2 linked regions of the Cricetulus griseus genome follow. The protein of the gene in region 2 interacts with the protein of the main gene of each other region in a pairwise test. Links are inferred from orthologs where the notes say so. Each region holds a gene or a part of one and is shown on either strand. Other genes may lie near its edges.

Evidence for each region. The genes of interacting proteins can lie anywhere in the genome.
Region 1: the proteins of Dzip3 (region 2) and Hnrnpf interact in binary tests that used the Homo sapiens proteins (3 or more experiments, as listed by UniProt). The two-hybrid records come from large-scale screens. The link is inferred for Cricetulus griseus from reciprocal best matches to the Homo sapiens genes DZIP3 and HNRNPF.

Annotation. Positions count from the first base shown.
Region 1 is NC_048601.1:27,020,512-27,026,382, reverse strand, and holds the start of Hnrnpf (heterogeneous nuclear ribonucleoprotein F), read left to right. Parts: upstream 1-2,089; 5' UTR 2,090-2,238; intron 2,239-2,471; exon of another isoform or gene 2,472-2,610; intron 2,611-3,207; exon of another isoform or gene 3,208-3,340; intron 3,341-5,871.
Region 2 is NC_048597.1:42,083,924-42,089,099, reverse strand, and holds part of Dzip3 (E3 ubiquitin-protein ligase DZIP3), read right to left. Parts: intron 2,975-5,176; 5' UTR 2,905-2,974; coding exon 2,873-2,904; intron 1,399-2,872; coding exon 1,326-1,398; intron 1-1,325. UniProt on the Homo sapiens protein: E3 Ubiquitin ligase proteins mediate ubiquitination and subsequent proteasomal degradation of target proteins.

The sequences.
Region 1 (5,871 bases), on a different chromosome or scaffold from region 2:
TAATAGTCCCCATGCCCCCACAGGAGGCTGAGACAGGAGGATCGCCTCAAGTTTGGGGCTAGGTTGGGCTACATGACAGTTCAAAGATAGAGTAAGAACCTGTTTCAAAAAGTTGAAGGAAGTAATAGTGTGTGGTGTTGGACCTGAAGAAATGGCCCAGCAGTTAAGAGGCTGGGCTGCCCTTTCAGATGATCCAAGTTCAGTACCCAGCACCATTTGGCAACAGACAACTGCCTATGATTCCAGCTCCAGAGAATTCCCACCTTTTTTTCTGGTCTCCACAAGCACCCCCATATGGTGAACACTCAACTGACCTGCATACACACAGACATCAATAAAAATAAATCTTAAAAAAAAATCAGAAGGGTATATGGTGAGATGGCCCAGAGGGTAAAGGTACTTACTGCCAAGCCTGACGACCTACGTTCTATGTCTGGGGCCCGCATGGTGAAAGGAGAGTATCAAATCCTGAAGGTTGTCCTCTGATATCCAGACATACACCATGATGCAACTAACAAGCAAAATAATCACACTAACCTAATACTAAAATAGTAGGATTGCTTAGGATTTGGAGGACAGCTTGGACAGGAGAGAGAGTTAGCAAATGAAATCTCTGGCTGTGAAAGTCTGATAACCTAAATTCGATCCCTGGAGCTCACATAAAGGTAAATAAAAAAACCAACACAGGAAAAGTTGCCCTCTGGCCTCCGTAAGGTTGGAAGGCACTTGCACCTGCCTCAACCAATAGTATAAACTTTAAAAATCAATAACAAACCCCGAAAGTCAGTGTGCGATGTCTTAGCAGTTAAAGGCACTTGCTGCATTAGCCTGCCAACCCGAGTTTAATCCAGGACCTCACCCATATAATTGGAGAGATAGATGCCCCAGAATTGACCTCTGACTTCCAAACCAGCAAGGTGATACATTCTGACTCCTCCACACTGAGCACACTAAGAATCTTAACTCACTGGGTGGTGGTCGAGCACTCCTTTAAACCTTTAATCCCAGCAGAGGCAGAGGGGCAGAGGGGTAGAGGGGTAGAGGGGCAGAGAGGCAAGGCCAGCCTGGTCTACAGAGCGGGTTCCATGACAGGCTTCAAAGCTACACAGAGAAATCCTGCCTCAAAAAACAAAACAAAAACAACAATAAAGAGAGAGAGAGAGAGAGAGAGAGAGAGAGAGAGAGAGAGAGAGATCCTAACGCTCTCCCTCCCCAGTACAAAGTGGTGCACAGTTTGGTAAAACTTGTGCTGAGTAACTGGACTTAATGTTCAATATACACATGAATACGTATTTAACTTTTGTAGGATTTGTTTTCTATCATTTGGCCTCTCTTTTTATTCTTGGAGACAGTTTCTCCTCTGAAAGTTAGTTTTCTCCTGTTATTTTTTTTTTTTTGAGTCAGCCTGGTGTGTTGTTTTTATGAACTTTTCCTTCATCGCTATCGTCCGCTTATAACCGGAGACTACTTTGTGAATTTCTCCATTGTTTAGACAGCGGCTGGCAACCATGCAGCCTGGACCCGCTCCCTGCAGAGATCACCAGCGCGCGTCTCCACGCCCGCCTAGGAGGCTCTGTGGTGTTGGTAATCTTAAACTCAGCCTGTATCTTGACATCTCACGAAGAAGCCTCGCAAATTATATATACATCGAAAAAATCTAACCCCTCCACTCCGGGAAGTGCTGACAGTCTGAAACTCAAAACCCTGACGCTGGGGGCTTGGAGCAACTTGGTACAAATCCCTCAAGACGGAGCCTCGGAGACGCCCTTAGGCGCTCTTTCTTTTTACGTAAGACTCGACGCTAGTTTTCCGCTCGCGCGCGGTTATTGAACCTTTGGGGCTCAAGTTTCCGGGTGCGGAAACGCGCGTGCACCACCCGGCGTCCTCCCACAGCCCACAAGTCGTGAGGCTCTCCATGGACCACCCTCCACCTTGCTCCCCTCTTCGCCCGCCCCCTCCCTTCCCTCCCCCCTCCCCCTCCTCCCCCTCCGCCGCTTGGCTCCCCCGAGGTGTGCGCATGCGCCGTCGCTGTCCTTTCCTGCATTCAGAGGCCGGCCCACATTCCCCGGCCCCGCCCCTCGCCTGGCTGGCCAATCCTGAGCTCGGACTTGGGCTCGTCAGAATGGCGCCGTGGCGGCCCGGTGCCCGGATGTCCGCTGCCTGAGGCTCCGCCCCGCCACGGTCTTGTATCCTTCCGGCTTCGTCGTGGAAGGAGGACTGCGCCTCGTCTTCCTGAAGGTGGGGTTCGGGGGAAGGCCGGCCCGCGGTCACGCCGGCTGTGGGAAGGGAAAGTGGGCTTCCCGGGCTACTGTTTCCGGGTGCTCGGGGCGTGGGTCGAGCGGGGAACGGGCCAGGGGCCAGGAGGGCTCCCGGAAGCGCGGCGGGCGCTCGACGGGCGGGAGTTGAGGACCAGGCCGGCCCGCGCGGCTGAGTCGCTCCGCGGAGGCCCCACCGCGAGCGCGCTTCTGGGGGTTTCCATGGTGACAGTAAACAAGCCTCAACTGCCTCAGCTACAACTGCCAAGTCCCCGGGGTTCCACCCTCCTCTAGGTGCTCTGAGGGCCGGCGAGGTTCCGGATGTGAGAGGGAGCGTGGAGACAAGGAGCCCGAGGTGAGGGTCGCCAACCGGGTGGGCTGGCGGCCGGGCCCTTGGGGCGTCGGGCCGTGGGGCTCGGCCATAGGAGAGGACCGGTCCGAGGGGGGAGCCGCACACCCGTGGCGGTGCGAGGCTGGCCGTCGGGGCTCGGGACGGCGGAGGCGAGGCGTGGGGTCGGGGTCCAGAGCCGAAGTTGAGAGTATGTCTGGCGGTCCAAGTTGGGAGCACTTCGGACCGGGCCGGCCGCGTGGCTGAGGTTTGCGGCCTGGCGGAGGGGGTCGGGGGGAAGGGGACGGACGCGGGATCCGAAGTCTGGAGTCACTCTGGTAGGCTGAGGTCCGGCCGCGGGGACCGAGGTGTGGGGCTCGCCCCCCCCCCCCCCGCATCCGAGGCCCACGCCCTGGAGAGCGGCTTCCGCCGAGGGCCATGCCCGCCGGCGCTGCTCGCACGCGGCTCGGCCGACGCGGGTTGTTTGGGGGGGGGCAGGGCGGAGCGTTTACCCCCCGCGGCGGAACACGCTCTGCCCTCCGCGGGTAGGCCCGGGCGGGCGCTGGTTGCAGTTTTGAAAAAGGAAAGCGGCCGCTCACGTGGTTGGAGGCGGCCAGAGTTTCACAAGACTGGGCGGAGGGACGACGACTCCGCCCTCCTCCCACTCCTGCCCCGAGCGAGCCGACCGCCTCTTCCTCCTCGTGGCGACCCGGGAGTCTCTCATTCCCCAGTCTGTGTGGATCCGGGCCCTTCGGAGGTAGCGTGCTGGCGTTTGCGGGTGGTGCTGGCGGTGGTGGAGGAGGAGGAGGGATCTTGACCTAGGGAGGTCGGTCGGGTGTTTGCTGCTGTTCCGTGAACTTTCTTTGGATGTGTTTGTGGATCTTTACGGTTCCGGTGAAACTTGGTGTGGGTCTTTCCGGCCTTCCTTCCCTCCCTGGCGCGCGCGCGCTCTCGGGAGCGTTCCCGACAGGGCCGGACGCTGGCCCCAGCCGCCCTGCGCGTACCCGCGAGGCAGCCCCACGTGCTCCATAACTTTGAGCGCCCGACGCGACTTTTCCTGCCCCGGAGTCCCGGGGCACAAACGAATGGGCCTCTCCTACCTGCCACAAGTGCTGGAGACCTGTGGCCTGTGACTGGGGCTCCAGAGTGGTTGGGCGAGCGCGCAGCGTGGGAGGCCGCCATGCGGCTGTGCGGGATTAGGCTCCAGTGTGTCTTTGACTGCCGGAACTTCGAAGAACCGAGAGGGCTTCTTTATAGCTTTTCTTTTTGTTTGCGGATTTGTGTGTGAGTGGGGGAGGGGGTTAGATGTAAGACGACACCTTGAGAGATGGCTCTTCCAGGAGTGTGGGTCTCGGGGATCGAACTGAGGTCATGTGCTTGGCAGCTCGAGTTCCTATCAAGTGTGGGTTTTGTTTTATTTTGCTGTTTTTTCCAGACGGCTCCTGTGTAGTCCTGGCTATCCTGGAGCTCACTTGTAGACCAGGCTGACCTCGAACTCACAGAGATGTTTTGCCTGGAGTGTTGGGATTAAAGAAGTGCGTCACCATGCCGGTCGATACCGGAGAGTTTTGAAATAATTAAAAATCATTTAATTGATCAAATCATAAGATGTCTTGTAATAGTTACTATTTTAGAGAGAAGTTTCCTTTGTGCTGCCGAGTAGAGGTCAGGGACATATGGGGCCAGGCCTTCCATATTGTGTTCAGAGATTTTTGAGCTCAGGTCCCTCCCGGCAATAAAAAACTTCTTTTCTATTTTTTTTTGTTTTTGTTTTTCAAGACAGGGTTTCTCTGTGGCTTTTGGAAGCTGTCCTGGAACTAACTCTTGTAGACCAGGCTGCTGATCTTGAACTCACAGAGATCCACCTGCCTCCCGAGTGGTGGGATTAAAGGCGTGCGCCACCAACACCCGGCTCCCGCAATAAGTCTTTACACAGTTAACGATCTCCAAGTACTTTTTAAGAGTTAATGCTTATGAATTTTTAGTAAAAATAGAAATATTTCAGGCTTTTTGGGTAGACAAAAATAGGTCAGTGAAGTAGTAGTTTTGGTGCTAATTTTTGACAATATTTTCGTTTTAAAGTGGAAGGTTTATATTTCCAGAGAAAGTTGAGAGATTGGTAATGAGGGATACTTAGTTTATTGTGTTGTATACATAGTTTTTTGTTTGTTTGGGTTTTTTTTTTTTTTGGTATTTCGAAACAGGGTTTCTCTGTGTAGCTTTTGCGGCTATCCTGGCTCTCAATCTGGAGACCAGACTGGCCTCTGCTTCCCATGTACCACCATCTCCATAGAAGTAGAAAGTTTTTATTTTTTTGGTGGTATGTCTTTTGGGTGGTGGGAGTAGGCTGGGCCTCCAAAGCACTATGTAGTCACTGAATATGATCTTGAATTCCTGATCACCCAGCTTCACTTCTAGATTGCTTAGATGACAGGACCACCACACCCCCTTAATAGGTACTGGGCATGGTGCGCAAGCACTCCATACCCTCTGGATCACATACCCTGTCCCATTGTGTCTGTTTTTTGTTGTTAACTTTGAGATAGAGTCTTTTACTATATGTGTATGCATGTTTCTGTGTGGGCCAAGATCAAGGCAATGCTGGGTTACTAGTGAGTTGAAGGAAAAGCCTGGGCATCTTGACTCTAAAATAAACAATTAAATAGAAAAATGTTTAACTTTGTTTTCTCTGTTTATGAGGTAGGATCTCATTAAGTTTGCTCACTATAAACGAGGCTGACCCCAAACAGAAATCTGCCTGCTTCTGCCTCTAGTGCTGTGGATTACTGGGATTAAAGGTATTAGAGGAGGTGCACACCTAGAATCCAGGCTTATGGGAGGCAGAGGCAGATGGATGATCTCTGAGAGGACAATTTGGTCTACACAGAGAAACACTCTTGGAAAACCAAAAATAACAACAAAAAAACCCCAAACAAATAGCTTAAAAGAAAATACTAGGTAAGTAGAAGTCTCTGCCCATGTGGCTAAAGCTCTGAGAATCTGGAGGTAGAAGAGTTCAGTGGGTTTACCCACATTAGTGTGGCTAGGTCCGGGCACAGCATGAAATGTTTTACATGTTCTTTCTGATTGGATATTTGTGAAAACTGAAGATAATCTTGTTCTTAATCCATGGTACAAAGAGAAAATGGAGACTCAAAGAAATCACCAGGGACGCAATGGGAATTGGAACTTAGGTCTGACATGAACTGCCTTCCATTGCTTAGGGCTCCTGTCTCCAATGTTGTGTTAGTGGAGGACTCTTAGGGTCTCACAGAAGAGGAAGAATTG
Region 2 (5,176 bases):
ATGAAAATGGCTCCCAAGACTCATGTGTTTGAATATTCCAGTTGGTGATGAGAATGATTAGGAGGTATGGCCTTGTTGGAGGTGATGTGCTACTCTCTGCTACCTGGTTGTGTCACAAAATGTAAGCTCTCAGCTACTGCCCTGGTGCCATGCCTGCCACTCTGCCATACTCCCTGCAATAATGGTCATAGGCTCACCTAGGAAACTCTGGCCCCCATTAAATGCTTTCTTCTTTAAGTTGCCTGGGTTACAATGTCTTACCACAAAAATAAAAAAAATAACTAAGCCAAAGTGTCTATCTTTTCTTAATTTCATAGTCCTAATTTTTATTTAGAAATGCCTTTTCTGGATCTAATAGGCCTGGTTCCTGCCTTTGCTCAAGTGTATAACCTGTTTATTCTGGAACATATTATAATTATTGTGAAATATTTTCTAGTGATAAACTCATGCTATTATGGCTATTTTATTTCTATAAAGCGCTACTACCATCCAAATTTTTTTAGCATGTGAGTATGGGCCATTAAGGAAAACTTATGGGAAGAAAACTACTTGAGAAGTAAAATGCTAGGCTTATAATAAAAAATTATGCATTTTTCCCTCTATGTATGTATGGGTACCCTGTGTGTGCTTAATGTCCATAGAGGCAAGAATTAGGCATGAGATCTTCTAGAACTAGTAACAGACAGTGGTGAGTTTCCATGTGGGTACTGAAAACTAGATCAATGTCCTTGCAAGATCATCAAGTATTCATAACTTTTATGCCATCTCTCCAAGCTCTCAATAAGTTTTAAATTATTATATAACTCAGGCCCATTATCTTCCACTTATACTTAGAGGCTCTAGCAGTAAACATAATAAAATGAAAAGAATTAGTTTCACAAATAAATCAATAAAACTTTTTGATAAATGAAATTCCAGATGTGTTTTCCTTCATCTGTGTGTGTATGTATGTAAATACATACACATATTCTTAACTTGATTTTGTTTGAATTTTTCTTTGCATACATAAATGAGGTTAGGAGGATATATAATGTTTGCCTAGTATGATTTCATCCATAGTACTGCAAAGAAAAAAACACTAACAAATGAAACCTGATTTTTATAATGTTTCTGGGTAAGTTCAATTTAATGGATTTCAACTCCTCATGAGGATTAGAATATCCTTGACATACAGCATCAATCATCCCAGAAATAATTATGAAAAATTTACTTTTTCAGAAAGTGACTAAGAATTTTATAACTACACTTAGCATTGTAACTTCATATACAAATGAATCAACTCATTGCTAATTACTAAATGTTAATAAAAATTAATTTTCTCTTACCAGCTGACTGATTGGTTTCTCTACTTTATTCTCAGTTTCTTCCTTGGTTTGCTCCTCCACATCAGGATCTCCACTTAAATATTAAAAAAAAGGGGGGGCAGTATTAAGAATGTCTCACAAAGATTATAAATTGTAGCAGTAAAGAATCAAAGAATAGAGTCATCTAGACTTTCAAAAGTATCATAAATGTCTATCAAAGACTAAAGTAGGTATGGGTACCATATCTCTTTGGAGGCTGAAGTTAAAAAAAAGCTATGGTAGAGAAACCAGCAAAGTCATATAACCAACTCCTTACATTTACCAGATGCACAACAGACAAACATATGGGAGAAAAACCTTAGCAACAGAGCTGTGGAGATGGCTCAATAGGTAATATGCTTGTGCTGCAAGATTAAGAACCAAAGTTTGGATTCCTAGTACTCAAGTTAAAAGTCAGGCATCACAGCACATTCCTATAACACCAATGCTGCTGTGATGGGGGATGGGTAGAGTTCCCTGGCCAGCCAGAAGAGTAGAAAGAGGAATTGAAGGTTCAATAAGAGATGTTTCCTCAAAACGTAAGGTCAGTGGTAGAGGAAGACATTTGACAATGATCTCTGTCAAAGATCTTCTACACACTTCTGCAAGGCTGAATGTGCACCCACACAGACCAGACACACACTGATACACCACCTACAAGCTTACAGCATTATAGCAAGGTGAAAAAATATCTTTGAAAAGGATGATCTTCTTTTTATGTGTTAGTATGTATGAAAATAAAAAGGTTAGGAAGATGTGTGTGTATACATATGTGTGTATTTTTTCTAACTTCCACAGTAAAATTAAGTACATAACCTTGATTAGTCCTCATCTTCTTCTGTACACAAACAAAACCCCTTATCAAGATTCACAGGGATGACTCTCCACTAAGAAACCAGGCAGTGGTGAAGAGGATGCCATTGATGCCCTTCCCTTATAATGAGATTGATGCCTACCTTTGTTACCATTCCTAGACCCTTCATCCAGTTGCTGTTTGAAGCAGAAACAGGCACCCACAGCTAAGCACTGAACCATACTACTGGAATCTAGTTGTGGAGAGGGAGGAGGGATGAGCAAAGGAGCCAAGATAGGGCTGGAGAAACCCACAGAAACAGTGGACCTGACCTACTGATTGCATGGAGACCCTAGTCATAAAGCTGGGGAAACAGCATTGGACCAAACCAAGCCCTCTGAATGTGGGTGACAGCTAGGAGGCCAAGACAGTCAGTCTATGGGACCTCTAACAGTGGAGCCAGTCTTTATCCCCAGAGCACAAATGGACTTTGGGAGCCCATTCCCCATGGAGGGATACTATAGCAGCCCAGATACAGAAAGGAGGGCCTAGGCCCTCCCCCAAATGATATGACAGACTTTGAAGGTCCCTGGTGGAGGACCTCACTATGAGTTGGGGGATGTGTTGGGGGATGAGGGGGATGGATATATAAATGAGTAGTAATTAAAGAATTTAAATAAAAAAGAATGCGTGATATATTAATAGTTGAAAAAAACTACTGCAGGTAATTCCTTACCTCACAAAAAATTCTTCTGTTAGAGAATCCATGGCACAAAATGTTTCTTCATAAGACCTATTCCAATGCTTGCAAACTAACTTGTATTATGGCCATTTGAACCTGTAAGAAAAAAATAGTATTTCTAATAGGAAGATAGAAAATTTTTCTTTCTCCCCTGTATAGACCAGTATGTGGTTACATTTTAAATTTCTTAATATTCCTATAAAATAATATAGTTTCAACATCCAAATATACTCACCACCTAGAATTTACATTTCCCTGGACATGGGTATATATTATCAGTCTATAATCATATTAAAATAGTCTCTCTTTTTTTGTAGCACTGAATGCTATAAAACCAGCTTTTAAGTTATTTTGGTTTTCAGCATTACACAACAGTTGCATTTTGTGTTCTCTCTTCCTGGGAGCTGTGCTTAGAACCTTGTGCAAGCTAGGCAAGCACTAAATCTACCATGCAAGCCCACCCCTACCCTTATTTGGCATTTCATTGGTTTCTATTTCTAGTAGTTGAGAATTTTTTACAGCACGCTTTGATCATATTCATGCTCCCAACTATCCCCAGATCACTCTTATTTCTCTACACATCCAACATTGAGTGTTTTTTTTTTTTTTTTTAATCTCATTAAGACCAGTTCGTACTGCTCAAATACTCATGGATGTAATACAAGATGGAACTAAACTGCCCTGGCTAGCTTGAACAGTATAAGTAGTACTTAAATTATGACGCTCCTGTGATTGAAGGCCTGTACTGCCACACATTTGATTAGAGTTTTCTTAAACATGTTCTTATGGCACACAACTAGATTTCCCATTTTCTTCAATTATAAATTGTTCTGCAAACTCCATTGGCCTATAACCCTTTTATTATATTAACGGTATTTCTTTACAATAAGATTATATTAGAATTGGTAGACCAAAAGATAACACTATTGAGTTCACTGATGCATATTGTCAAATGGCTTCCTATAGGGGAATTATCAGTTCCTGTTCATTTATAATACTAACAGCAGTGAACATTTTTTCTTTTCAGAATAAAAATGCTACATAGCCACTTTCCTCTGCAAGCCATATAACTTTACAGCTCCATAAAATAAGATGCGAGATATAATAAGCTCTTGCATAGTCCCCAGCTCAAATATCAAAGAACTTCTCCTCCCCACCCCCCACAAAAACAAGACAGGGTCTCACTGTGTGTTCCTAAAACTTACCACATAGACCAGGTTGGCATTGAACTCAGATTCTCCTGCCTCTGACTCCAGAGTGCTGAGATTAAAGGCATATGCCACCACCTAGCTAAGATTGGTATAACTTTTAAAAGCCTTTTAGCATATGTAATTTCCATATCAAGAAAATACATGCCATAAGATTCATCTATTAAGAAATCAGATGGTATTTAAAAAAACATTGCTTTATGATGTTAGAGAGTACTGAAGGACCAGAACCCTTGTCTGGCATGTGTATCTACATATTAGTGAACTTAAAATGGGAGGTGGTAATCTACCCTGGTACAAGAGGCATAAGTTCTATAGAGAGCACTGCAAAGCAGCCATGGCCTATGAAACCTCGACACTCCGAATATTCTATACTGACTGTGACTGCTAAGTAACACAGAGATTAGAAAGGCAAGAATCATTCAACAATCTAACACTACTCAAAGGACAAATGCAAAGACACATAAGCATGAGGGGAGACATTCTGCAAATTTCCTCATCAAAAACAGAGCTTTCTAACACCTCTCATTTCTTGCCAGTCCTCAACAAAACACTTCTGTGTATCAGCTTTAGTAGTAAGTATTTACAATTAAGTTCTTTGTGGTAAATTTTTTATCTTATGGTTTTACTAAGTAAGCAAAAATCATAATCAGTCACATTAAATGTATATTACTGACAAAAGACACAAGCAACAGCTAGTAATGAAAAAGAGAGAGGATGAGTAATTTTCATACTGATTAGATCTGCATCATATCTTAAAATAAAAATACAGCTTTGGGCCGGGCCTTTAATCCCAGCACTTGGGAGGCAGAGGCAGGCGGGTCTCTGTAAGTCTGAGACCAGCCTGGTCTACAGAGCAAGTTCCAGGACAACCTCCAAAGCAATACAGAGAAACCTTGTCTCGAAAACAAACAAACAAAATACAGCTTTGGGAATTTTGTGATTCTGTGAATTTATGGTTTCTGTAAACCAAAAAGGAACAGCCAATAAAACATTATTCCATAACTGTAACACAGACACACATTTGTCTTTCCTGGACATCCCAGATTTATTAAAATTCAGACACAGAGACCTTGTTCTCAGTAAGGTC